Linked DNA regions of Rattus norvegicus. The protein of the gene in region 3 interacts with the protein of the main gene of each other region in a pairwise test. Links are inferred from orthologs where the notes say so. Each region holds a gene or a part of one and is shown on either strand. Other genes may lie near its edges. The genes, in order: Banp, Gcc1, C5h1orf94, Rbfox1, Hnrnpf, Gse1 and Mapk1ip1l.

Region 1 (3,500 bases), on a different chromosome or scaffold from region 3:
CACCATCATGGAGGAAGACTGTGGCAGCGGAGGCTGCTCCCTACTCCATGGGAGCTAAGACACAAAAGGAAGGGCCACACGGGGGCTAGATCCCACCCACTCCTCTTTAGGACCCACCTCTGTGGCCCACTCCTCTCCTAGGCCACCCCAGAGGCAGGGCTGTGGTCACGCTCTGAGCACACGAGCTTTGGGAACAACAACCTAAGCCTTAGCAAGCGCTAGAATGTGCGCTGTGACGTGTACCATCAAGTGTGTGGTAGCGAGCTTCGACCCCAACACTGCAATTTAGTCAGACATTATTTCTAGTATTTCAGATACAGCACATACCTAAGAGCAAAATTTTGTGCTTATAGGAAAAACCAATCATTTAGATAAGGAAACAAAAGCCTCCCAAGGCTCACAGGTAAACAAAGTCGATGGGTAGGATTTGCACACAGAGCTTAGTCTGTCAGAGTTCCTTCCTTCCTTTCTCTCAACATTACTGTCAGTTAGAAGCAAGGAGGTACTTCAGACTTTTCAGGGAAGAGCCTGCCCCTACCCCATGGGGGCCCCCAAGAAATCATGGGAGGAGTCTAGGGAAGGCAGACCCCACACTTGCTCTCCCTGGCTACTTGCAGATCTCAGCCCAGCCCAAGGAGACTGTACTCCCTAAGCCTGGCAACCAACAGAGGAATGCCAGGGACTGTGAGCAGAGGTGACTGGTTCGTGCTTATGGAAGCTCTTCCTCCTCAGGAAGCAGAGCATCCAAGAAGGCATCTCCACAGCAGACATGTCAGTAACACGAAAAAGGCATGGTCACAGGAGAGAGGCACAGGTGCTGGCAGTCACGGTAGGACTTCAGCTGCTTAAACTTTTTTGTCACTGTGTCATTTCTTATCAACAGCAAGCACAGCCCCTTCCAAAAGAAGAGCACAAAGGTGCAACTATGGCGAACGCACCTTCAGAGTTCAGGGTGATAAGTGTGACGTTGCTTCCAATGTTCTGACTTCCTGGCTGGCCGCAGTTAGACACGGAGTCACTGGCCTCTGATCCACTCTCTCCATCTTCATTGTGACTGTCGTCCTGACCAGGCACCTTCACCACGATGGTATTCTGCCGACGCCCAGGAACAGCGCTGGCGGGAAACAAACACAGCAGCCCAGGCTGTGAGAGGACATGAGTGGTACACTGAGATAGCCCTGACTCCCACTGTTATGTAGACTTATCCCATTGTCTAGCTGAGCATGGACCAATGCACAAGGTGGGTCCCCAACATGCGGTATGTCCCCACACACACCCTCCATGGAGATGAGCAGCAACATAGCACACCAACAGCCTGAGACCAAGAAGACGAAGAATATAAAGCAACTGCGTAAAAATGAACAGCACAAAAGAAATAAAACCATAACTCACTGAGACTCAGCCTAGAATCTGGCTTTCAGACCTTAGAGGCCATCCTCACATGCACAATGGTCACCGTGTATCAGAGTCCCCATCCATCCATCATCCATGCTGTCAGACACCCAAGATGACTCGGCCTCCAAAACACCTCCACACTCCCTCTGACTCCCACAGACAAAACCCTAGAAGCAACTTCCAAGGCCATCAAGAATGTCAGGAGTCCTCTGGGAGCCATTCTTGGTGCAGGGCCCTGAAGTAAAGCAGCAGCCAAACAGCTAGCAGCAGAAAGTGCTCAAAAAAGACCCAAGATTGATTTGTTTTCTGAATGATTCTGTCAACGTTTTGGACCATGGCCTCCTACACACCACAGAGGAAACAAAGCCCAAGTTCCCATCAGCAAAGTCAAAGGGGCCTTAAAACTCTGGTCATCCCCAGAGGCAGGAGGTCCTTCCTGAACTTGACCCCTCTGAGCTACCCACAGTGAACTGGCTCCTCGACACTCCACACCCACGACCTCAGAGTGGGCCAGGAGGCGCGTCCTCTCCCCAACAGAGTGGCAGGCCTCCAGCACCCCACTCAGCACAGTCACAGCAACCCCAGGCCTCCAGTTTCCTAGAGACCTGGGCCAGGACAAGAAGCCAGACAAAGCTGGAAGGAGTCACACCCCACAGAGAAAAAAAGGAAGGCAGGAATCTGTGAGAACACTGCTGGTAATCAAAAGGTGACCAAGCTTTCCTGAGGCACAGAGCCAGAGCCAGGGGCAGAGGCCCCGCAGGGCATGGCTGCTGTGCCCTTTCATTTCTGACTGACGGAAGGTCCATTCAACACATCTCAAAAGACAGGGATGAGGAAAAAGTCACAACGTCAACACAAGTGTGTCATTTACCAGACTCAGAAGAGGCTCAACTGCAGGACAGACAGATGGGAGTGCTCAGCGGACCACAGGCCATATCTAGCCTCTTCACATACCAGATCCAGCCCAGCGGTCCTCACGGCTGCCCACCCTTGCACTGTCTCACCCCACCATTGCTAAGCACCAAGTTGGCCCTTCCTGACCTAAAAGCTATGGTGGTTGCTAACAGAATGGGCCCTATGACTGCAGACATGGACATGTGCTCAGACTGACCCTGGCTCAGGAACGCTCACTTAGCCTCAGGACAGTGGCAGGGAAGGTGGGTGGTGATGGCTACTGACTTGCTAATGATATTTTCCAGGGAATCCGGTGCCCTGTTGCTCAATGGGTCTTCCATCTTGGCTACAATGGCGTTCTGCCGATCATTGTTGAGTATTACTGTAGTCTGGGGGACGACGCTATGAAACAAAAGAATCACAAGAAAAAGAAGACCTTAAAACAACAACAGTCATTGTCAGAGCACATGAATCATTCAACACGGTCAGCTCCTGGGCCAACACCAGAGAATGGGGTCCAGTGCAGAACAACTAAACTGGAGACAAGGCTCTCCAGCTTCCTGCTGGTTGGTATTCTTGGTTGACACAAATGTGGGCAGGGTGGGCTGTGCATCCGCGAGCCATCTCAGCAACAGGTTTCATGAAAACAGGTTCCTCTTCATTTCCCCGTGTGTGTGTGTGTATGTGTGATGTGTGTGCGCAGGGCACCTATGTGCACCGCATACATGTGAGCTGTGTGCGGAGTGCAGAGCAGGTACTGGGAGTTTTCTTCCACTGCTCTCTGCCTTACTCTTTTCAAACAGGGTCTACCACTGAATAGAAACCTAGTCCACTCAGCTAGGCTGCTAAGTCAGCCTGGGATCTCCCTGTCCCAAGTCCCCAGTGCTGAGCCTACAAGATATGGCCTGGATTTTTCCATGCATGTTAAGGACTTAAACTCACATCTTCAAGCTTGCAGAAGCATGAGCTTACCCACTGAACCAGCTCCCCAGCCTCTTTCCAACGCATCCCTCCAAAACTCTGATCCGGCAGGTTGGTCTCGCAGCTGCCTTCCTCACGTCACTCCACATCTGACCTCTAGAGTTGGGCAGCCAACCAACCCACGGGCAGCAGCGGGAAACATGCTCACACACCACCCGCAGCCCTCTGAGGAGCACAGAACCGAAACAAAAGGTCTTGGGGCCTGGGTTTGAGGAGAAATTCTAGGAGAG
Region 2 (4,300 bases), on a different chromosome or scaffold from region 3:
AGCCTCTGAGTTGGCCATTATATCAGGGTCACAGAGCTTCTCTACATCCAGGGTCACCTGGCTTTTCCTAGCTGCAACCTGCAGGAGCCTCTTGAGCTTCTCCATCTTGTCCTTCAAGACATTGATATCCAGACTGGATTCGTCTCCATGGATGTCAAGAGAGGGCCGGCTGGAGGCTGCAAGGGCCAGTGTCTTGTTCTCCAAGTCCAACTGTAAAATTCGATCCTTCAACTTCTGGATGGCCAGCTGGTCTTTCTGCTTGGCTTTCTCATAGGTGCCCAGCAGTTCAGACACCTCAGAGATCTGGTTCTCCAGGGCTGCTACCCTTTGCTCCTCTACCTGAGACTGCTGGCGAAGCTGGTCCTCTGCAAGGGCTGTCTGCAAAGCAAAGAACAGGTGACAAGGCGTCCAGGAAAGTCACAAAACCCTACAGTCAACCGGATATGGGGGAGCAAGACAGAAGTGAACAGGGCTTGGGATGACCCAGAACAAGCGGGATTTATAATTGAAACTCCTTTGTATATGTGCTGTTTCTACCACAGTTTCCCACTTTTCACTAAGCTTGAATACAAAATGTGTTCCTTCCTGTTAGTCCCGCACCTTCCGAATCATTTAAAGAAGCCGCATAACATTCTTTCCCTTTCCCAACATTCCTGGAAACTGAAAACCAACCTGGATCCCTCTCTCCATTGAAAGGGAACACTGCAAAAACAGTTTTAGTTCTAAAACAGGCAAACCTCAACCGAGCGCATACACGAGACGCTTCTCCCAGGAAAACCCCCTTTGCTTCCTTCCTACCTATAAGCACACACTTCTCAGGACACACACAATCTTTCCCTAAATAGCTGTCACTATACTGCCTCAAACAGCCCACACTGGTAAGATGCCAACACCCAGAGGCCTAGATAGAGCTGTTTGGCTTGAACCCAGAAATACTCAGAAACTCCTCATCCTGTTAAAAGGACACCACACAAAACAAGATTTCCTAGGACTCACTAGTGGACTTTCTCACTTGACATCAAATATCAGTGTGCATATCAGGAAGGTGGAACCGACCACAATCCCAGCACTCACCCACTAACAAGCATCAGGCATTCCTTGACTAGAACAAAACCCTGTTCTAAGTAGAGAAGAGGGTGCCTTTAATACTAGCACTTGGTACGGAAAAGCAGGCAGATCTCTATGAGGGCAGACTTGGTTACATGAGAAGACCCTGCCTCATGAAACACACACACACACACACACACACACACACACACGCACAGGAGCGTGCACATATACGACAGTTATCTAATGACCAAAAGAGAAAAATGATACTAATATTTCCTATGGAAGTTAAAATAACTGTTTGAAGGACATAAAAATAATTACCTTCCTCATTTCTTGCTGCAACTGGGCCTGGAAATGGCTTTTAAGACGGGCAGCCTCCTGCTGAAGCTCCTGCAGCCGGGGATCTGGTCGGTTCTTCTCCTCTCGAATGGCTTGCAGCTCACCTTTCAGCTCCTCTACCTCACGGGTCAGCTGCTTGGTCTGCAGTTCAAACCCTTCTAGCTGATCAGCTGCATACGCCCGCCCTGCCAAGGCTTCCCTGGTCTCTTCTAGCCGAAGTTCCAGGTCCTGGCGTTGGGTCCTCTCCTCCTGCAAAAGCTTCTGTAGCTCCCGCAGCATCAAGGCATGGTCACTCTGCTCCTGGGCGCGATCGTGCTGCTGTGTAATAAGTCGGGCTTTGGTTTCTGCTATCTGCTCTTGCAGCCCCTTCAAGTCTCCCTCCAGGCGGCCCCGCTCTTCCTCTGCCTTTTTATTGGCATCTTCTAAGTCCTGCTTCATCTTCTTCTTATCCGCCAGGTAAGACGCTTCCATTCGGGACTTTTCCTGAGTGACTGTAGCCAAGGAGCTAGTCAAAGTGGCCAATTGAGTCTTCAGCTGATGCACTCTTTTGTCTATCTCACTACCCGCAGATGGCCCATCCCCACTGCTACTGCTAACGCCACTCTCTGACCCACTGGCCTCTTCAGACTTTGGAGGAAGTGGTCCACGGGCCACTCTGTCATCTTCAACCCCAAATTCACCCTTGACACTTGTAAGACTGGCTGCGGTATCCAAGCTCGTGGCAGTTCCGGTGCTATCCTCACTGTGAGTGGAGCACCGGTCATCCACAGAATCAGGAAACGTGAGACCCGGAGGCTGCACACCTGAGAGGCCTGCATCTGCCTCGTGGGATACCGACAGTACCTTGATGCTGGCCTCCAGGGCTTCTTTCTCCTTCAGCAGGCTTTTATAGGCGCGAACCACATCCTTGAGCCTTGCCTGGTACTGGAGAAGCTGCTTTTTCTGTGTCTCTATGGTCTCTAAGAGATCCTTCTTGCTTGGGCCGCCCCCGAAATTCATCCCAAACTTCTCCATGAGGGTTCCGGAGTGGGATGCTCCACGTCAGCGTTCTTGCAGCCCTGGACAGAGCCACAACAGCTAGAAGTAAAGCAGAGAGAATCGTCTGGCTGCAGGCAATACACCCGGTCGTCCAGCGGTCCGGGCGGGATGAGGGGCCGCGGTGGCCAGGCAAAAGCACTGTGAGAGCCAGGCCGAAGGTGGGAAACAGTTCCAACCTGGATGCGGAGTGACGCTGGCCTAGCAGGAACACTCAGCCAGGGCTCTCCGGTACAGGCCCTGATCCTGTGCCGCCCTAGCTGCTCGCCTGGCCACCGCAACCTAGACCCGCCTCCCTCCGCCCACGATCAGCCCAGGATTTACACTAAGACCGGTTCCATCACGATTTCCCAACAACTGGGACAACAACGCTTCCGGGTCCACTGGAAGTGACGACAGCAAAACGCCACAGACCCCGCCCCCGGCGGGCATGAGATGGGTGGGGCTTCCGCACCCAGTATTCGCTGGTGGCCTGGAGAGAGAGTAACCTGTAGGTATAGTTACCCAAAGCGAAGTCAAGATCACCTGAGCAGTTGTTTGGAGAAGATGCCTAACTTTGCCCTCAAACTACCACCAGTGAGCGACAGGGGGCGACGTCACACTGCATTTGCCCCCCCCCCAAAAAAAAAAAAACGATGAAAGACGCATCAAACTATTTGGGGCAATTTCCAACATTTAGGGCAACAGTTAGGACTCATACTAGGAAAACGAGCCCAGTACCTAGTTAACATAATAGCTCCCTTGTTTAGTTCTGCTTAGTAAGAGGGACATTATATAGCTATAAGGTCCATCTTGCATACCAGCATATGCTGGGGTGGGGGCTGTCTCACAAGAGTTTTTGCTATTTAGTCTTTGCAAAATTCTGTTCAGAGGGTATCATTAGCACCAATTTACATTTACTGGAACATACAGTAAATGTACAGAGGGGTAACATGCCCAATGTCACTCAGCTAGTAAGTTTAGGAATCCTATCTCAGTCTGCCTCTCACCATACTAAATGCTATGCCTGATGGCACCATTGAAGAAACATGGCCTTGGTCCCGAGAAACTCCTAACAGCAAGGACATGCAAACAAGTAGATGCTGCCCTCACACTAGTATAGTATGTAAGGGTATAGTTGAAGGGTATAAAAGAGGCGAGGCACCTGTCAGAAGGACAGAGACTCTTAGGGGAAATGACTTGAAGTTTGAGGAATGAGTAAAGACTGCCAAACTGCAAATGTGGGAAACCAGCATCAAGAAAAGCGGAAACGTTTACAGGAACCTCTGAGGTATCTATCAGTGAGCCTGACTTGCCCAGGAAGCTTATGGTGTGGGAGGTGGGTGGCTATTGATGAATCTGGAACAAAGGGTAGGACCCAACTTAAAGGCATTTAGATTTCATCTTGGGTGACAAGACATTAAAAGATTTTCATCTCCGGAGGGCACCATCAAGACTCTTTGCTTTTGTCCATTCCATCAAGACTCCTGTGGGGTTTTTAAGATGGTTCAGCAGTAAAGACGATTTTCACCAGGCCCAGTGACCTGACCTAAGTTCTATCACCAGGACCCACACGGTGGAAGGAGAGAACACACCCCTACAAGTTGTTCTCTGAGCTCTACACACCTCCACACACGAACACAACATAAAAGTGGGGAGGGGCTAAAAACAAAGAAGACTCCTGTGATATTATGAAGATACCAAGCCTGTGAGGAGGCTCACTCTGAAAGAGAGAGAGAGAGAGAGAGAGAGAGAGAGAGAGAGAGAACGCGTTTGAAGAAAATATTTCTGTAATAAAAATCTGCTCAGGAGGCCAAGCCGGCCGCATCTCTGTGAGTTCGTGACCAGGTTGGTCTACATAGCAAGTTCCAGACCACCCAAGGCTACATAGTGTTTC
Region 3 (3,500 bases):
GCTTAGCAAGACTCTCATTGGGGGCTATCAGAAAGATGTCACTGGCCTGGACAATCACAAACAAATGGCAGGAGCATCAAAGGAACAAGGTGACTCATCCTAAGTGACTGGAGTCACCCAACGGAAGGACTCAGTGGGTGCCAGACTCAGGTCTTATTGCAAATACACCTGACATGTCAGCAGAGATATTTCCCTTCAGTGTTGCAGCCTTTCTTCAAAACTGGAGTGTCTCCGTGTGTGGGACAATGGATGCGAAACACTCAAGGCAGAATTGTGCCCTCACTGAACGCATACGGAGTTACTTGTCATTGTTCCCTAACCAATGGTGTAACCACTGTTTACACAGCATTTACATTGGATTAGGCACCAGTGGTGATCCATAGATTATGTACAGAGTGTAGGAGGGAGGGAGGGAGCTGTGTGCTACTGTGTATAAGGCTCTTGAGCATCTTTGAATGGGTATTTGAGGGGTTCCTGGAACCAAGAAATAGAGACAGCTTGATAAATGTGTGTACACATAAATTGTATGTTATATACATGTACTCGCAAGTGTTACATAATTACTATTAAGGCATTTATCTGTTAGAAGCAGAAAGTGGACTTTGGCCTCTCTACCCCCTCACTCCTTCCTCAGACTGGCTGTCTCTGAACACCTCGACAGAGCTTGGCTGAGAAGTCTGCCTGCAGGTGGATGGCTATGAGCTGCTCTGGACACAGTGGAAGCACCTGGGAACTCTAGTAACAGTCAGATCGGGAGGGCCTGTGCTTCAGCGTTACCGATGGTAATGGACGTGATTCCACCATATCATGAATTCCTCTATAGCCCAGCCCAACCCAGCAAGCCCTCGGGGCCTCTGCATGGGCCTGGGCCCTACCTTCCCTGCCCCCCCCCAAAAAAGGGGAAGCACTGCTCCAGCCAGGGACATTTTTAGCAGAGCATGTCCCCAGAGTCTCTTCCAGCAGTTCCTCTGGTTGCTGAGTTTAGCCCCCAGCTAGAGCGCTGAAGTAATATAGCCACTAATAATAGTCATTTTCCCCAGAGACCAGCATATTTGCAGCCACTCACACAGCTACAACATCTGCAAGACCCCTCTGGCATCTGGGAACTCTCTGTCCCTTTCCCTCTCCCTCTGTCTTTCTGTCTACCTCTGCCTCTGCCTCTCTCTCAGCCTCTTGGCCTCTCGGCCTCCCTGTCCCCCCCTCCCCTTTCTCTCCTCTTTCTCTCCCCCCTCTCTTCTCTCCCCTCTTTCTCTCCCCCCTCTCTCCCCTCTCTCCTCTCTCTCTCCCCTCTCTCCCCTCTCTCCCCTCTCTCTCTCCCCTTTCTCTCTTTCTCCCCCTCTCTCCCCTCTCTCCCCTCTCTCTCCCCTTTCTCTCTCTCCTTTCTCTCTTTCTCCCCCCTCTCTCCCCTCTCTCCCCTCTATTTCCCCTCTCTCCCCTCTCTCCTCTCTCCCCCCTCTCCCCTCTCTCTCCCCTTTCTCTCTTTCTCCCCCTCTCTCTCCTCCCCCTCTCCCCTCTCTTCCCCCTCTCCCATCCCCACCTCTCTCTCTCCTCATTTGTCTGTCTTCCCTTTGCCTCATAACTATACAGACATACTCAGGACAAGCACACTTACCAACACACACACACACACACACACACACACACACACACACACACACACACACACAGGCACCCTCAGCTCTACACCCTGTGCTTTCTCTAATGAGTATGCTCACCCTGAACAAAGATTTCTCTGGCACACCTAGCCCGCGGGTTTGTACACAAGGCACTCTCTGAGTGTGGGGAGGGCAAGTGGAGAAGATACCTCTGTTCTGCAGTCCCTTCATCGAGGAACATGAAGGTTCCCCTCTGGAAGGAGAGGGCAAGTGTTTCTCTCCCTCTCGGGGAGGGCTCAAGCCTCCTCCATCCTTTGCCATCATCCCAAAGCCTTGTGACTCCTCCAGGTTTGCTGAGTACTATGTCCAGCTTGTCACCTCAGCTCTGATTTCCCGGGGTCCCTCCACTGCTCCAGAATATAGAATACTTGGGAAGGTGACCTTGTTCCTGTTTCTCAGGGCTGTGAGCCCTCCCTAGACAGGCACTGTCAGTTAAGCATCACACTACAGCCTGGGGGTGACCTTTCTCTTGGTTGGCGCAAGTATAATCTATTCTTCTAGAGACTGGCGACTGTGGGCAGATGGCTCTGCAATCCAGTCTGAACATGCACAATGTGGAGTCCCAGAGATGGGCAGGGAGCACCAGAGGGGGATGAGTTCCTTGGGATGACCAGAGTTCCTATTCAAGAGCTAAAAATATGCTTCTCTAAGGTTCTAGAGCTTCAGAGAACAAATCCCAGGACCAACAGTTTGAACTTATGCCCTACGGAGGGTGGAGCAGTCCTGATGACCAGGATGGGTGTCTCCATAAAAAGGTAAGTGACCCCCATATGCCAATCAATTTTCTCTCCAAGCCTAGACTCAAGGCTGGGCTCTTTCCTGATAAGGTAAATAAATCCTCCAGTATGCTCTGGGTACCTAATGAAATCAGAAATTATGTGTCTTGCAGGGTGTGGAAAGATGGCTGACTTAGTGAAATGCTTCTCACACCAGCCTGAGAACCTGAGTTTGGATTTCCCACATCTGTATACAAAGCTGGGTGCGGAAACACATGTGTGTAATCCTAGTGCTGGGGACAGAGTCAGCATCCCTGGAGTTGCCGAGCCAGCCACTCTGGCTGAATTGGTGGGCTTCATGTTTGGTGAGTATAAGACCCTACCTATCTTAAGAAATAAGACGGAGGGGGGCTGGAGAAATGGCTCAGTGGTTAAGAGCACTGACTGCTCTTCCAGAGGTCCTGAGTTCAATTCCCAGCAACCACATGGTGGCTCAACTATCTGTAATGGGATTTGACTTCCTCTTCTGATATGTCTGAAGACAGAAATGTGTGTGTGTGTGTGTGTGTGTGTGTGTGTGTGAAGAATATGGAGAGGTGCAGAGGAAGTCACCTGACATTACTTCTGGCCTCTAGACATATACGTGTGTGTATCTATCCACACATGAACATCCATATACCACTTAGGCGCACACACATACACACACAACCAGAGAGGCTGCATTGTTTTTGCTTTGCACAAAGACACACCATGGCCTTGATCAGCTTCCTGATCAAGGCTCTCTTCCTTGAAAACCCCCTCACTTTCCTGTTCTCAGCCCCACTCACCAATCCAGTGGTGGCCCTCAAGAGCTGGGTCAGCCTCAGTCTTGGAGCAGATCTTGGCAAACACTGGGAGCTGCCTCTTCGGAGGAGAGAACTCGGGGAGTTTGTCGGGGACTGCGGGAGGAGGTGGGGGTGGCAGCAGCAGGAATGGGCCCAGCCCCATGGACTCCCGGGGTCCGGAGCCATTGAACATGCTATTCTGCAGGAAGTCCTTAATGACCTTGGTCTCTTCCAGCACCATCTTGTTGTCTGGGGCCTTGGACATTTCAGTTGACTTCAGTGGGAACTGAGCCAGGAGCTTGCTG
Region 4 (4,300 bases), on a different chromosome or scaffold from region 3:
CTGACTTTAAAGAAGAGTCCATGAGAGGGACCTAACTAAATGTGCATCTGTAAGCACTGACTGCAGCATGAGTCTGGTGCTCTCTTAAAACTTAAAGATGCAAATTATTTTTTCTTTAACTGCACAAAAAATGAGCCATGCCGGCCCACATTTCAAAAGTGTCTCAGATATCAATTCAAAACAGAATATCTTTGGCCACAGAACTGTTGACTGTTGTGTTTGGGAAGACTGTAAAATTGTGAACAGTACCTCAAGCAGCTTGCCAGAGGCCCCTGCACATAACCACTGATGCTGTTCCCAAATATACAAGCACAAGGGGTCGTAGCAAGGACGAGTCCACACTCCCGGTAGTTTAGTTGTCTTGCTGACATTACTAAGTTTCTAAAGAAATTTGAATCCTGGCAGAAGGGTCTTTATTCTTGACTTGGGTGAAACTCCCTAAGGCTAAGTGCCAAGGTAGCTAGGGCAGGAAGTGGAAGGTGAAAGGAGAGCTAGGCTTTCCTACCCCTTTCTATCACACCACATCCTTTTCTTATGAACAGAACTGCAATGGGAGGTGTTGTAGTTTCTTCGAGTCAAGTGGTGTGGCCTCCACAAACAGCAAGACGGCTAGCACCTCCATGTGCACAGCCTTGCAGTGGAGTGGGTCCCAGTAGCTCATCAGAGGCTCCTCACTGACACACTCAGAAGAGCTTGTAGGTCACTAGTTCAGAAGTTTTCATTTGGGAAACAAATGAGAATGGATCAGGTTAACATTTGCAAGTAAAATAACTTGTTCCATTCCAAACTAACCAGTTATGTTTCTCGAACATTCTGCCAAAGAGGAAGAAATAGTGCCTTCCCAGCTTCTCTGTTGGCTCTGGCGTCTTCTCATCTATCATTGGGGTAATACGTTCAGAGTGGCATTTTGTAATGACAGAAACATCCCAGCAAATCGATAGTTATTTAATTCCCAACAAGCTCTCGAGTCCATTAAACCTGATTACATTCACCCATTTCGGTGGGTACCGTTATTCTCCTGCACCAGCACTTAATCTATAACAGGAACTTATGAGAACTTTCAAAAGCAATTTCAGCATCAATCAGCATGGAGTGAAATGAGCGATTTGCTTGTAATTATTTATCGGATAGGGCAGCACAGGGGCCGACAAAACTCCAGCCTTTGACCTTCACCCCAAATTTCCAACAGAAGCAAAAAGCACTGTAACTCTGCTTCACCCTCACGTCCCAAGTCTCATGTCACCATCTGGCCACAAATTCTTTTCCTTGTTGTCAGGACTATTCTCTGCCTGGCCTATTTACCTATAATATAGAAGTGTAGCAATAGCATACATCCAGGGTCAATGGCAGTTCTGGTGTTGTCTGGACTAACTGCTGGATAGATTCCACCACCCAGCTTCTGACAGTTAATAAAAAGTCACAGTCACAGTCACAGTCACAGTCACAGTCACAGTCACAGTCACAGTCACAGTCACAGAACAAGAAGAATATTTGTTTGGGATCCTCCGCAGAAGTCGTCATTAATGAATTGGTCTTGTAGAACTCTCAAACAGAGAGTGTTGGGTAGGGGTAGTACGACAGGACAGAAGCTAAAGTGTCCTGCATATATTTAATTTTCCTTTCCCACAGAAAGGAGATTTAGAATTTATTACCCAGGGCTGGTTATTTCCAAAGAACAGCAACAAATAGCCACTTGCTTCCTACAATGACCCACTTCTATCACAAGTGGATGTCGGCTTTCCAGAGAACTGCAGGCATACACCCAGAAGCAACGGGTTTGAGTGACAGCACGGCGGTACAATAAGGCAAAGAAACAGGTCCCAATTTCTCGCTAGCACATGAACCTCTCGGCACACAGAATAATAGCCTTAGCAGTCAAAACAACAGGCATTCCAACTTCTCCCTGGCTGCCGAGAACAGTTGGCATGGGGTTTCCAGAGTCACCCCTGAACTTCCTAAAGAAACCATTCTCAATGTTCTCTCTTGTTTGTGGGTCACCTCTCAGATTCAGAAGGGGGAGCCTCTCTGCAAACAGACAACCTGTGTGGGGTGTCCTCCGTAGCACTGTAGTTCCTGCCCTTCGGTTTCCGGGGTTAAAGCCTTTAAGCAAGCCACAACATGATAAGTTACTGAGCCTCATGATCTGCTCTGGGAGACCCAGTCCCTCAGAAAGCTGGGGAAGAGAGCAAATCTTTTGCCCCCTGGTCAACCTCCCGAAGCAGAGGCATGAATGTTAAACAGCACCCAGATCAATACAAGCAAATACAGCTCAACTACACCATTTATTCATCCATGAGAGATGTCAATAGCCAGATTAAGGTGATCCATCTTTTTGATTTCCTACTGTCTTTCCTTTGACTACACGAGGGCTGCCTTTTTTCTCTTCCTGTATTAAAAGTGTTTGCTTTCTCAACCATAAAAATTCCAATTATTACTCAGAGCACTCTGGAGTTAAGTTGCTTGCTGGCAAAAGCCATGAATTACCTGCATCAGTCCCGGGAAGAAGGGGGCAGCAGGCACAACCATAGGCACGCCATAAGAATGCAGAAGGACTCCTTGCGACGCCAACATGCTTTAAATGGAGGCTTTATTCCCTCCAAGGCTGAACACATCAATAGAGAGTTAGAGGGGGAAAGAAATCTATAGACCCAACTTCTTCTCAACTACAAAGCCGAGAGCCAAATCGCTTCTGTCAGGAGCCAAGTGCTCATCCACAGGCGGCGGAGAGGGGAAAGGAAAGAAAATCCTGCATCAGCAACTCTTAATGTGAAAGTTTTCTTCACAGACAAGGAAGGGACGCGGCAGCTGCAGGGTCGGAGCTACCAAAATGGAAGGAGCTATTTTGGGAGCAGCTCGCCCAACATGACTAACCAAATACTCTTCATTAATTTAGTTCTCAGACCGAGGGAGATGGAGTGACAGGGAATCAGGGAAAAAGAAAAGACATTTGTCCTGAGGAACTGGGCCAAATTGCAAGGGGCTGGGTCTACATGAGATTTTTAGAGAGAATAATGAATAGAAATGTGTAAGCTTACAGGACAATCAATTTCAACTTAGAAAACTTAAATCTTTACCTATATAAACCATCACCGGAGCCTAAGTTTAAGTTCTAAATTGCAACTGATTGTTATGTAAACTTATGGACTATCATATATGTATGAGGACCCAAGTTTGGATCTCCAATGCCCGTGTATGAAGTCAAGCAATGTGGCATACACGTGTATTCCCAGCACTGGGAAGACGGAGACAGGAGGATCCTGGGTCTCACCTGTGAGCCAGCATAGCCGAACAGAAAGTTCCACATTCAGTGGTTCAGTGAAAGACCCTCTCTTTACGTAAGTAAAAAGCAATAAAGGAAGATACCTGGAGATCACCCTTCGACATTGCACATACATTTTCATTCTTATACTCATCCCCCCACAGTTATGTACAAAAACCAAACCAAACAAAGAAACAAGAACAACAACAAGAAAAATGACAGCAAAAAACCCACTCAAAGGTAGCAGGTTCATGTGGGCAGCTGATCAAAAATTACCTAAGAATAATCAGTATGTGGTAGCAAATCTCAGTGGTCCTGGAACTCAGAGGTGGGTATAGGAAAATCGGGAGCTCAGCTGTATAGCAAGTTTTAGGCGAGCTTGGGCTACACGAAACTGTCTCAAAATATTTGACTCACTTTCCTCCCCTTTTTTCACTCGATTTCAGTTTGAAGAGGCAATTCATAGCTAAAAGGAAATAATAGCAGAAGTCTGAGTAAATTAGTTTTGTGGGTTATTGCACTCAGTCCTTCCACATCTCTGAAGCAGGGGCTAATCCCGGACCCAGGAAGCCAAGTAACCATGAGGAACCCGAACGCACGCTAGTCAGCCACTTTGCAGCCAGTAGGAGGCAGTGCTGAATTTAAAATACCTCATACACAATCCCTAGTTGTCTTGCTGGATTGCACTGTGACTTGTGATCTAGAAATGTGTTAGCTATCTTGGGGGCCACAGAGTAGGTGCAGACTTGCTGGTGCTGTGTTCATGTGTGAAGGGATTTCACATGGCTTTTACATGTGTGTCCCAGCTGTGATACATGAATCTGCTATATATTAAACAAAGATGAATTCCCTCCCACCACCCTCGCTTTCAGAGATGAAAGGTGTTGAGGAGTATGCAAAGTGAAAGCTGGGGTGTCCCTTTCCTAGCTCTACCGTCTCGAGCAACTTCATTTGCCTCGTAGACTCCAGATCTATTTGGGCATGTAACAATGTCAGAATATCTCGTCACCTCCTTGCAGTGTGCAATAGAGGGAGTTAATC
Region 5 (3,991 bases), on a different chromosome or scaffold from region 3:
CATAAATCCTCTGAGCCACTTTTAAATGATTCAACTGTGTGTCTAGTTGCTTAGGCTGACCATAATAATAAACTTAAGACCTTTTGCCTCACCACCTCCTGGTAGATGGAATTGCAGCCTTGTGTTGCCACAGGGACTCGTTCAAAATTCCTGACTCCTATATTCCTAGCGTCTCTTAACTCTAATGAAAACACTTACACTCCCTGCTACTCTATCACAATCTTAAGATTTATCTAACAACTGTAACCCAATTATGTCAATGCCCCACTTCTAAGCCCTATTTCCCATTGGTTATTAGAACAGAGACTGAACTAAAAGAATCCTTGGATCCTACAGACATTCTTAATCTATATCCATCATTCTTTTTTACTCCTTAGTTCCTTTAATTTCCCCACTGTTCCCTGGAGGATTTGACACATCAAATAATTCTCCACCCAAATATCCTCTGCCCAACCTTGTCCAGCTAAACCTTGATAATCCTCTGGGTTATCTAAGCGCAACTACCATTCCAATAACATCTTCTCACGTCCCACAATAAGTCTGACTTTCTACTTTCATAACAACCTTCTCTGTAGTTTTAAAAGGTCTTCAAAACTACACTGGGACCCTACTTAGGACAATTTTGTTGTCCAATACTTCATCCTTAGCAGAGGGAACAGACCACAGCAGGTCAAGGATTAGCTAGGGATTTACTGTCCACCTAGGGTCAACACCTTCCTTCAGAGTATAGCAGCTTAGTCAAAGCTAAAAACATGTAAGAAGCATAAGGAACAAGTACTTTATAAGCAGTTTCAGCAACAGGGGAAGAAAGCATTCTTTTCTGTAACATGTCAACCAACACCTACAGCTTGCTTTTACTCACCCCCCCAAGAAGTTCATAGTTCTTTAGTTTGACTTAACTGTAAACTCACCAAGCATTTAAAACTGACAGTTCTTCAAAGAAAACTAAACTTTGCTTAACAAATTAATCGTCTTACAGTTAAATGTATCTTTTAGTAGCTTACCTTAAAGAACCACCACAGATGCCTTCTGTAGGAAACACAGAATGGAAGATAACAAGTTTTCCTTAAAAAATAAAAACAAACACAAAACCCAAGATTGGTCTCGTGGCCTCAGATTCCATTCATCATCGTACAGAAGGGGACCTCCTGGGAGCTAGGCTCAGAGCAAGCTAAGTTTCTTTCTCAAATCCAGAAATACATTGTAGCCCTAGGACCAACATATTTAGGTTTCCTGGTTATTTATATTTCATCTTTTCATGGGTAGAGGACATCAGCAAACAACTTAGCAGAACTAATTTAAGCTTAGTTTAAATGTAGGAGAAACTTAAAATTTAAATAGAGCAGGGATCTAGTGGGCACTTTATGCCAAGACTTCCAACCCTTTCAGTAGCATAGGCATCCAGGCCAGCATGAATTTCCTCTGGAAATGAAAAAACACTCCTGTTATTTATCTTCTCCATGCTGGAGGTGGGGAAGGGTCTCCAATGCCTTTTGCTTTATCATAACCTATGTGACAAAGCTTCTCCCAAATGGTGAGGAAAGGGGTTGAATCCTATGACAAATTATGCTGCATTCTTCGTTTTGGAAATGTGGTAGGCTATTCTGCCTGTTGTCTTAAAATAGGGGTAACTGCAGTTGCATTGTCTCATTTTCCAAAATTATGCAAGATATTGGGGTGTCGGTGCTAAAAACCCATTTTGAAAATAGTTTCAAAGACCCTGAAACAGGGCTTCACTTTAATGAGTTTCAACCATATTCCTGTCCATGAAATTCTAATGACTCGATCCCCTTTTTCCAACCTTTTACTTCTAGTGTGGTAGACAATACCTGTGGGCCTCCCTGGAGACACTATACTGCATGCAGCTAGCAGCTAGACCTACATTAAGCCACTGGCACGAGACCCGTGAACATGTGAACTGTGGAGACATGCCCAGTAAAAGAGAAGATGGCATGGCGGGTCTTTGTAAGTACTGTTAGAACACCCAGACATTTGATTTTAATTGCAAGACACGCTACTGAAACCATTTGCATCATTTTGGGCGACTGACTCCTATACTATAGCCAGGCTAGGCCTACATTTCCACAAGTTAAACACTAAAGAAAATGCACTATTAAAATAAACAAACAGGCTGAGACTTTTTTCTAACAAGCTACCCAGTCAGTGATACTGGTTAAACTGGATTTTCACTGCCTTCAGGTAGATCCAGGTAAGATAAAAGAGGTGCGCCCTCTGAATCCTGGACTAGTTAAGTTTATCGGCTGAACAAACAGGGCGGCTCAAGCGCCACCCACCTAGTTCTTTTGTTCAGGCCCGCTTGGTGGGAGCCTTGCTGCACCCTCCTCTATGCATCTTTGTGTTCCAGGAAGTCGCCGGAGTTTTCATTGGGAGCCCGCCCTCATCCTCCCTCCATTTTGTAAATGAGTTTTAACCTCCGGAACGCCGGGAGCGCATCCAGGCAGGTTTTCTTACTCAGAAAGTTCTACTCTTAAGACCAGGAGAGCCGCGGCTTCAAAGCTGCTGCCTTTTTCTGCTCTGAAACTTACCACGGGAGGAAGGTAGAAGTGACTTCTATTTTCAATAACGAACGCGGCTTACGAACCCCAACTCCACCCGACGCCTTAAAAACGCAGAGGGCTCCGGGGAAAGTCCAGGTGCATCTTCTTTTTGTTCTCAACCTGAAATGGAAGTTCAAATGACCAGGGGAAACGCTTTTGCGGAAGCGGAGCCCCTTGAGACGAGCGTTTTGGCGGGAAGCAGGGCGGAGGGCAAGGTGACGCTGCTCCGCGGCCTTCGCCCGGTAGTCGACCGCGCCGCGCAGCGAGCGCCGGCCGGGCAGGAAGGTCCGCCCCGGGGCTTGCGCGGGCTCGGGCGGGAGCTTCCGGGCGGGGGCGGGGGGAAGGGAGGCTCCTGAGCCTCGGAGGGTGGGGGAGGGGAAGATCCAGAGGGCGGGGAAGAGGGCTGGAGTAAGAACTCGCGCAGGCCGAAGCGTGGAAAAGCTCGAAGAGGGAAACTTCTAAGGTGAGCAGGTCAAGTACGCAGCCGGTAACCTGGGGCTCGGGCGGGAAGCGGGGCTCACCACGCCGAGACGGGCGTTCGAGTCCGGAGTCCGGGAAGCAGCAGCCGCGTGATCTACAGCGGCAGTCGGACTCGGGTCACGGGGTGTAGAGGAGGAAGTGCCCTGCCGGGCCCGCCAATATGTCACCAATGAGAAAAGCGTGCCTGCAGGTGTGGCCCGCGAACGGTGGGTTTGGCCGGCGCCGGAAGTGGGGGAAGGAGGGAAAGGAAAGGGGAAGACTCCTCGCTGAGTTCTGGGTAAAGGAGCCACCTGAGCAAAGTACAGACTACCCGCTACAGTTGGAAAGGCGAATGCAACGAAGCGTTGACAGACTCAGCCAAGTAAAACCAAATCAACTCGGAGTACAGAATGGAAACCTGCAGACACTCTACACTTTTTTCATTTGCCCGCCGACTCCACGATAACCTAACTTTTAAAAACTCCCGACTCGACTTGGTGGCGGCACGCCTTTAATCCCATCATTTAGCCTTGTCTCAAATTTTTTTACATAAACTAATGACCGGTATGGTACATACATTTTTTTAATACCATCACTCTGGAGGCAGAGCCAAGCTGATTTCGAGACCTGCCGGGACTACTCGAGTTCCCTCAGAGCCCTAGAGGCTGACTAGGTTTGGATCCCTAGTATCGCCGTAGTGGAAGGAGTGCTTGACTTTTAAACCTAAGTTGGCCCATATGTATAAAAATGAACCTTATAGGGGCTGGAGAGATGGCTCAGCAGTTAAGAGCACTGAGTTCAATTCCCAGCAACCACGCGGTGGCTCACAACCATTTCTAACAGATTCTGGTGTATCTCAAGACAGCTACAATGTACTCATATACGTTAAATAAATATTTTAAAAAATGAACCTTATAAAATCTACACCCAACAGGCAACCACAAATCTTAATTCAAAGCAATTGGCCTCTGAAA
Region 6 (3,500 bases), on a different chromosome or scaffold from region 3:
CACACAGTATCTTGGCAAAGAACCAGATCTCCAAGTGAACCCGCATGGATGCTGGGAAGGCCACAGCTGTGGCCCTACATGCACAGAGGACACTTGCTTTGACCTCACTGAACTGTCATTTGCTAACTGTCCAAGCGTGTGGTTCTTGAGCAGGTACATCAGAGGTCATGCTACAAGTCTGAAAGCGACAGAGGCTCGTCTCTCCCCTCCCCAAGTGCTTCATGGGCATTAAGGGTTAAGAGGCACTGTCACTGTGTAAATGGCCTGTGCTGCCCAGCACTAACAGGTGACACGGGACACGTGGCCTGTTACCTTTATGCTTCTGCAGAGCCTTCTGTGTGGACTGCAGTACGGACTCGTGGAATTGATGTGCAAACTCTTCGGCCATGAAGGGCTCCCAAGGCTTGCTCTTCCCGTTGATGCTGTGGGACAACGGCACAGGAATGTCCTTGGGCGCAGCGCCCCGGAGGTAATGAAGCATGCTCAGGTTCTTCTTGCCCCCAGGGGCCTCGCTCAGCCTGGCCTTCTCACCGCTGGGAGGAGCTGGCTCCTGGACTCTCAAGAGCTCCTGGGGCCGGAGCTGTTCCAGTCTTCCGGTCTCCACGGCCTTTGGGACATCTGACAAGGAGGCAGGGACCCCGGCAGGCTGATCCGTCTCTAAAGGAGCTGGCTGTGTGGCTGGTTCTTTGAGAGATAGAAAATGAGGGGAACATTATGAACTGTGGAAAAACAGGCGTGCAGACACTACCGATCTGATCTCTAGAGCGTACACTTACAGACCCAGTATCTGTACCCTACGTTAACAGTGTGCACGAGGTTAGAGTTTAGGTGAGGAGAGGCCAGGTTAGCAGCAAGTCTGACCGTAAACAGTTCCCAAAGGGAAAGGTGGGGAGAGAGAGCAGGAAACGCTGAGAAGGTAGGAGAAACTTCATCCAAATCAGAGAAAGCAGGTGAAGACATGAGCTAGCAAGAGGCTGGACCCCAAGGATTCAGCTTTCTTCAGCTGGAGAGCAGCAGAGAAGCAGGGAGAAAGTAGGTGCTGGAGACAGTCTGGAGAGCCCAGGTACGGCATTCAGCGGGCTTTGGACCCGTCCTCTTGGGAAGTGACGGCTACAGCCTGCAGCTGATGGAAGTCAGTGCCTTCCCCTGCGCTTCTCGCCCACTGTGTCCTAAGGTTCGGCTCAACCAGGATGGAGAGAAGCCCCGCGTCCAGTACTCATGTTCACCACGAAGACAAGACTTCGAGCGACACCTCCCCAAGTTACAGGACGCTGGTGGGTGGGGTGTCCTTCCCTTACCACTCAGGGAGATGGTAGGACTGTCCCTCGAAGAGTTTGTTGCCACTGAGTCTGCTACTGCTGCGGACAGTGCCCTCTGCTTCATGGCACGGAGCATTTCAACAAGCCTCTCTTTGTCTGTGAGGAAAGCAGTCCCAGGTTAGCAGCACTTTGAGAGGGGAGGAAGGTGGGGTCTGGCCACCGTGACTGGCGGGTACAAGCCCTTCACACCAAAAGGCACCAAAAGCAAGCACCACGGCCAGCTGTGCAGACAGACAGGAAGAAGCAGGTGACAGCAGCTGGCTGTCCCTGCTGGGCTCCGGGACAGCCACATTTGCAGTCAGGAGCAGTGGCTGCCTGGAGGTTTCCATGGTGACTTCCTTCTCAGCAGGTATCCTGATCTGAAGACCAAGGATGGCCCTGATACAAGAGCAGAGACCAGGGAGGGAGTGTGCTCTCTGCCTAGGGTCACAGCCATTTCCCTCGAAGGCGTGCAGACCCGACAAGTGTCCCATACCGCAGATCCCCGTCTCTGTGGCTCTTCCTGCCAACTCTGAAACTTAAGAGGCTTCGGTGCCGATGGCGTCCTTTAGACACAAAGCCAGGTGAAAAACCAGGCTTGCAAACAACTAGGCACGAGTCCAGGGGCATGTGCTGGCAGTCAGCCCGTCTCTAACCCTTGCTCGGAAAGTGAGACCTCCACCATGCTTGTTAAAAAGGAAAAGGAAACTGCCACCACCAATAAAGAAGCTTGTCAAACCAACTGAAGAGCTGGAGGCACTGTGTTCCCGGGAGTCTTCCAGAAGGGGCCAGTGCCCTTAAGGGGCATGAGGCACACAGGAGCATGGCCGTACATCAACACCTCAGCCCGGGACGGTGATGAGCCGATCAAGGTAGCCTCGGCATGCCTTGGCCATGCCACGTCTTCCATACTGTGAATTCCAGTCCCAAGTCTCTTCTCCCACATGGCCCTAGGGTACCACACTGATCTGGAAACATCTTTTTGGGTAGGTAAGCAAGTTGTGCTTATGATGTGGGGTTGGCTCACCCACGAGCTCACTCTCCAGGCCTGTCAGCATCAGAAACAGTGCTCAGTAGAGATCACTGTCCAACCCAAGAGGCAGGGCCTGGGGATGTGAATCCTGAGCACACCCGCTCCGTCCCAGGGAGAAGTCCTGGACACACTCTGAAACATACAGGCACATCAATCAGCCTTCACAGTCAAACAAGACATGTGCCAGAAACACCAAGGGACAGAAGCCTATCAGAGCTGAGAGGACAGCTCTGTAGCTCAGGCTACCCAGGAGCACCCTGTTCTACGTGTGCAGGCCAGAGCAAGGCCATACCTTTCCTCTTCTCTGCACTGATGTGCGTCAGGTTGAAGAAGGTCAGGAACTTCCTCTTCTCCTCAAAGTTAGGGCTGTTGTTCATCTCATCCGGGCTGTAGCGGGTGGACAGAGCCAGTCTGGGAGAAGGCGTCTGTCGCTTGCACTGAATGGCAGGTGGCGACGGGCTTCTCTCTCTCAGCATTCGCCTCCGCTTCCGGCGCTTCTGAGCCACCAGCTCCTCCTTCTGCTGTTGGGTGGTCAAGCCAAAAAGTTGCAAGAACTCTAGCTTCTAGATTGGGAAAGAAAACAATCGAGTGTGAAGCCACTGCCCTCCACACTGCTTTCACAGCCCCAGGGGTCCCGTGGCCCATGCAGTCTGATTTGGAGCTAGGCCATAGAGGTAATGGCCTGCAGGGTTTGGAAGCCAAGAGGTAGGCCCAAAGCGGGGACCCACTACCCAGCCAGCCCCAGAACATGCCAGAGTCGACTTGTTACCTCAGAGGACGTGTCCAGTTTGAGGGGTGGCTGCTCAGCCACACAGCGGAGGTGTGCCCTGACCTCTTCCTCATCGCTCTCATCGTAAGAGTCATCGAGGTCATAGTAGTACCCTGATGGCAGAAATGGGTGCACTGAGCCAGGCTCAGAACCCAGGATGCTCCATGGACACGTGCACCTGGGGGCATGGGAGTGAGGCCACTGGGCTGGGCCTGCTGGCACCTGTGAGGACCCTTGCTAAGAGGGCCTGGTTTCTTCCCATCTGCGTGGACACCTGCAGTGAGCCGAGGGCGGCAAGACTCAGGCAAGACTCAAACTCGGGATGCTCCCTAGGCGCAGGGCAGAGCATTCCTGACAAAGGCCTGATGTCCATTGCTTGGTAAGCCTCATGGGAAGGCAG
Region 7 (4,009 bases), on a different chromosome or scaffold from region 3:
AACTCTAGTTCTGCATATTCGGGCTCTGACAATGAGTAATCTTTATGAAACTCTAGTTCTACACTGACATACATCGAAATATCAAATCAAAAGTCTAGGAAGGAAAAAACTAGAAAGTTTATGTATATGCTCAGACTTTGCTTTTCAGTATGTCAGTTTTGAGTCTCCCAGAAACAGAAGCCAGTCGCAAAAACCAACAACCCTCATCTTAAAGCATTGGTAATGCTGTGACCCTTTAATACTGTTCCTCATGTTGTGGTGACCCCCAACCATAAAAATTAGTTCATGGCCACTCCATAACTTTTTGCTACTGTTTTGAATAATATAAATATCTGATATTCAACCCCTGTGAAAGAGTCGACTCCCAAAGGGTTCATGACCTACAGGTTAAGAACCACTGTTTTCAATTTAAAACTTAAAGGGGAATAAGAGATAGCTTATTCTGGAGCCATTTTGAATGAGGATGACCCCAGAACACACATTTGAGTTACCTCAAATTCTATGTCCCAACCTGAAACCAGTATCAGGACGTTTTTAGCTTTACAGAACAGAGAATGCCATAAACCAAGCAGTTTAAAACACACTGGCGGGTACATTGGAGGATAGATACATCAAGATAGAGGTAGCTTTTCTGTAGATCTAAGACACTATCCGATGACATTCTTGGCTTTTGGATTATCAGAAGCTAGTTGCCTGTTAATAGATTCTAAAAGTTTTTAATCCTTTTGCCACAAGATGTTCGTTTTGACGCGCAGTTGACTGTTCTGGAGGGCTAGCACTAGCCCAAGAAAAGGTAATCGACCTCTGCACCTGCAACATTCCAATCTCTCCACAGTACTGAAATTCTAATTGGCCACTCGGTTTCTGCAGACAGCTTCTTCAAAGGTTTTCATTCTCAAGACCTTTAGAAAGACTTCCCTTTTCCCTCATCTCTTTACCCTCGATTTTAGCTGGACTACTGACAGTCAGCTTGGAGCCTGTCTGCAAAAACCGCTGAACATAGGGAATCCAAAATGCGCTCGCAGCCCCTGGGATGCGGCGAGCATCACCAGCCTAGGGCTTGTCCCATTCCCGCGCTCCACACGGAGGAAACAGTCCAGGCCCCAGCAGCCACGCGGCCCTGCCTGCAGTCCCATGGGCAGCCCGCTGGAGGCGCAGTGCAGCTGGGCGGGGCGGGCGGAAATAACGGGCGGCGGGGCCAGCCTCCCTGCTTCCTTTTCCGGTGCCGGGAGGAGCCGTGTCGGTGCCGCCTCGGTCCATCAGGCCTCCTGCGGTTCTCCATTGCCCGTCTCTCTGGATTCACCGTCGCCACTGTGCCGCGCCTAGGACTCGGATCCTGCCGGGTGAGTCCGCTCGGGCGCTTGCGGTGGGGCGCGAGGCTTGGGGGGAGATGATGCGAAGACGCGGGGTCCCCGGGGGCCTGGAGGCTCTAGAGCTTTCGATGGGGAGGATCCACCGGGGACCAGGCGACCTAGAGGTCTAATGTCGCTCCTGTCGGGTTCCGGGGCGCCCACATCATGCCAGACTTGGGGGGTAGGGCGGGAGCGGGCGACCCTCCCCCACATCCCGCCGGCGTGACCGGCCTGGGGCTGGTTCGCTCCGGTTGATCCCGGATTCCCTTTGTTCCCTTAACCCTAAAGGGCAGCTTGTTTGGCACCCCTTCCACCAATATCCTAGTCACTAATTTCTAATAAAAAACGGCAGTGGAGGGGAGACCCTTACGGGGAGGTCTGGCGCCTGATAATTCTGTGTGACAGGATTCTTGCTGTTCGTAATTACCCATTCGTTAAATGACTACCCGGGACAGAAGATGCCATGGGCTGAGTGACGTTTTCCTTTTGAAGGATCTGGGCTCAGCTAGAACGCTTGAACCATTTTTTTTTTTCCCTCCCTGCCTTGAAAACCGAAAGTAATGTCTTCACTAATCCTGAAGTTGAAGTATCAAAACCAGGCCCCACCGTAGATATGTTACAGCCTACTTCACAGAAATACACACGTGTTGGGCCCCTCCATCCCCCATGTGTTAAAGGCCTGTTCTGAAGCCAAACCCTCATTACCGAGTCGCCTTCAGAAGTCTTTGTTAGTGGGTCTCCTTGGGTGGGGAGGAGGGCAGTTTTCTCATTCGTGGAGTATAGGAGCCATTCTCTAAAACAATTTGCTTCAAAAACTTTTTAATGCAGTTGCAGAAGTTAGAATGTTCCTTTTTTGATTACAGAAGGAATCGGTGCCCAGCTTCTTTCTCCTAACTGAGAGGTTGAGCCTTTGGGGCCAGTAAGCTTAGGAATTCAGCAGTGTTCAGATTCTGTGATTGTTAGTATAGAGGGGCAGTAACAGCCATAGACTCGGGGACTGTTAATCAGTTATTAGTATTTGTACAGGGTGGGCCTGGAGTTAGGTGATAAAGCGCCAGCCTGGCTTGCTACAAGGTCCTAAATTCCCAAAACTTTAGGGGATGAAAAAATGCAAATATCGTAAATATTCAGACTACAGCTGGGGGTGAGTGGAAAACGAAATGGATAAATAATGTCTGGTCAGCTTTTGCCACCAAATAAATACTTAGGAGATTGTATATTTTTTAAAGTTTTCTGCTTTGAAAATAGACAAAGGTTTGGGGCCATGTTGTATCGGTTTTAAAAGCTAATCTTTGTTGAGTTTTTTGCTCAGTGTCAGGCAGTGACTTAAAAGATTTATTTATAGATTTCTATAAGGCTCAGCAAATCTGTGGAAAAATACCCATTTACTCTTACGTATAAGACTCAGAGACCTGGATTTGACGGTAGGCCAGACAGGCAGTCTACTCTGGTAGTCTTTTTGTTCTATGTGTATGAGTGAGAAAGAGGAGCTGGAGAGAGATGGCTCAGGTTGAAAGCCATCGCTGTCCTTGCAGAGGACTGGAGTTCTGTCCCAGCATTCACATGAGGCAGCTCACAGCTTCCTAACTCCAGGGAATTCAGCGCCTCTAGCCTTCTTGGGAACCTGCATGGAGGTGAGCAAACCCATGTATACCTTTTTAAAATGTTAAAAATCACAAGAGGAGAGAATTGGGTATTTGTTGCTCATTCCGTCTTCCAGTTTTAGTTGGGTCAGATGCAGCCCTGTGTGGTTCCACGAATCACCGCCTACTCTAACTTTATGAAGAAACTGAAGTTGACTCGGTCAAGTGAGCTAAAGTATTAGGACTCTTGTCCAAAGCCCTCTGCTAAAACTTCTTACTGCTTTCTGGTATTCCAGCCAACCCGAACTGCTTCTGCTTTTCCACAGACTGTTCTCTCTGGTTTTATACAAACTGATCTTACCCTGGAGCCTGTCTTTAACCTTCTACTCTTACTTTTATTCCAATCTACAGAGACACCACTTCTCAAGAATGCCCATGCCATGCCACCAATTACTCTAAAGCCCAGCAGGATTGGAACTTGTGTTCCAGTGAGTCGGAATAAATTATAAGAGCTTCTACTGTGAACTTTAGGTGTTCAAAAACATTCCAAACTTTTTTAGGTACCCAGTTATAAAATGGAATATAATCTGGTAAATTACCCAGTACTAAATGCTAACAATTCTAATCAGAATCTGCTTTCAATATAATATATGCTAATGTAGTACTCAAAATTAACCTTTAAGCCCCACCCATCCAAGGACCCAGTAACTTCCTGGAATGCTAAGAGTAGTTCTTGGGAAATAATAAAGCCTTGTGGGAAAGAATGGTGCCAGTGAGTTTTGTCCATAAAAACCCCTACAACATGTGTCTCCAGGCCACTGAGCTGGAAGTTCTAGGAAGTGTTCCTGACCAAAGCCCATCGCTTGGTCAGTATTTAATACCTAATAAAGCTTCCTTCAAATTTGGCCCAAAATAGTGTGATTGGTTTTTCGCTGGTGAATCTCAGAATTAACACTATCACACTCACCCATACAAAAATCACAAAAGTCCTGATTTTCCTTAGTTTCTCTGAATTGCTTGCCAATTATCATCAATAACCCAATGGATTTTTAGCTTTCTTAAACTTTGAGGATG

The links.
Region 1: the proteins of C5h1orf94 (region 3) and Banp interact in binary tests that used the Homo sapiens proteins (3 or more experiments, as listed by UniProt). The two-hybrid records come from large-scale screens. The link is inferred for Rattus norvegicus from reciprocal best matches to the Homo sapiens genes C1orf94 and BANP.
Region 2: the proteins of C5h1orf94 (region 3) and Gcc1 interact in binary tests that used the Homo sapiens proteins (3 or more experiments, as listed by UniProt). The two-hybrid records come from large-scale screens. The link is inferred for Rattus norvegicus from reciprocal best matches to the Homo sapiens genes C1orf94 and GCC1.
Region 4: the proteins of C5h1orf94 (region 3) and Rbfox1 interact in binary tests that used the Homo sapiens proteins (3 or more experiments, as listed by UniProt). The link is inferred for Rattus norvegicus from reciprocal best matches to the Homo sapiens genes C1orf94 and RBFOX1.
Region 5: the proteins of C5h1orf94 (region 3) and Hnrnpf interact in binary tests that used the Homo sapiens proteins (3 or more experiments, as listed by UniProt). The two-hybrid records come from large-scale screens. The link is inferred for Rattus norvegicus from reciprocal best matches to the Homo sapiens genes C1orf94 and HNRNPF.
Region 6: the proteins of C5h1orf94 (region 3) and Gse1 interact in binary tests that used the Homo sapiens proteins (3 or more experiments, as listed by UniProt). The link is inferred for Rattus norvegicus from reciprocal best matches to the Homo sapiens genes C1orf94 and GSE1.
Region 7: the proteins of C5h1orf94 (region 3) and Mapk1ip1l interact in binary tests that used the Homo sapiens proteins (3 or more experiments, as listed by UniProt). The two-hybrid records come from large-scale screens. The link is inferred for Rattus norvegicus from reciprocal best matches to the Homo sapiens genes C1orf94 and MAPK1IP1L.

The regions. Positions count from the first base shown.
Region 1 is NC_086037.1:66,950,961-66,954,460, reverse strand, and holds part of Banp (protein BANP), read right to left. Parts: intron 2,692-3,500; coding exon 2,575-2,691; intron 1,115-2,574; coding exon 939-1,114; intron 1-938. UniProt on the Homo sapiens protein: Controls V(D)J recombination during T-cell development by repressing T-cell receptor (TCR) beta enhancer function. Binds to scaffold/matrix attachment region beta (S/MARbeta), an ATC-rich DNA sequence located upstream of the TCR beta enhancer.
Region 2 is NC_086022.1:57,999,386-58,003,685, forward strand, and holds the start of Gcc1 (GRIP and coiled-coil domain-containing protein 1), read right to left. Parts: upstream 2,801-4,300; 5' UTR 2,404-2,800; coding exon 1,372-2,403; intron 379-1,371; coding exon 1-378. UniProt on the Homo sapiens protein: Probably involved in maintaining Golgi structure.
Region 3 is NC_086023.1:145,586,295-145,589,794, forward strand, and holds part of C5h1orf94 (uncharacterized protein C1orf94 homolog), read right to left. Parts: coding exon 3,199-3,500; intron 1-3,198.
Region 4 is NC_086028.1:8,996,592-9,000,891, forward strand, and holds the start of Rbfox1 (RNA binding protein fox-1 homolog 1), read right to left. Parts: upstream 2,801-4,300; 5' UTR 2,572-2,800; coding exon 2,485-2,571; intron 1-2,484. UniProt on the Homo sapiens protein: RNA-binding protein that regulates alternative splicing events by binding to 5'-UGCAUGU-3' elements. Regulates alternative splicing of tissue-specific exons and of differentially spliced exons during erythropoiesis.
Region 5 is NC_086022.1:152,767,538-152,771,528, reverse strand, and holds the start of Hnrnpf (heterogeneous nuclear ribonucleoprotein F), read right to left. Parts: upstream 2,801-3,991; 5' UTR 2,547-2,800; intron 1,066-2,546; 5' UTR 1,005-1,065; exon of another isoform or gene 1-1,004.
Region 6 is NC_086037.1:65,529,160-65,532,659, reverse strand, and holds part of Gse1 (Gse1 coiled-coil protein), read right to left. Parts: intron 3,214-3,500; coding exon 3,101-3,213; intron 2,895-3,100; coding exon 2,624-2,894; intron 1,416-2,623; coding exon 1,299-1,415; intron 685-1,298; coding exon 313-684; intron 1-312.
Region 7 is NC_086033.1:23,023,559-23,027,567, forward strand, and holds the start of Mapk1ip1l (MAPK-interacting and spindle-stabilizing protein-like), read left to right. Parts: upstream 1-1,209; 5' UTR 1,210-1,343; intron 1,344-2,887; exon of another isoform or gene 2,888-2,986; intron 2,987-4,009.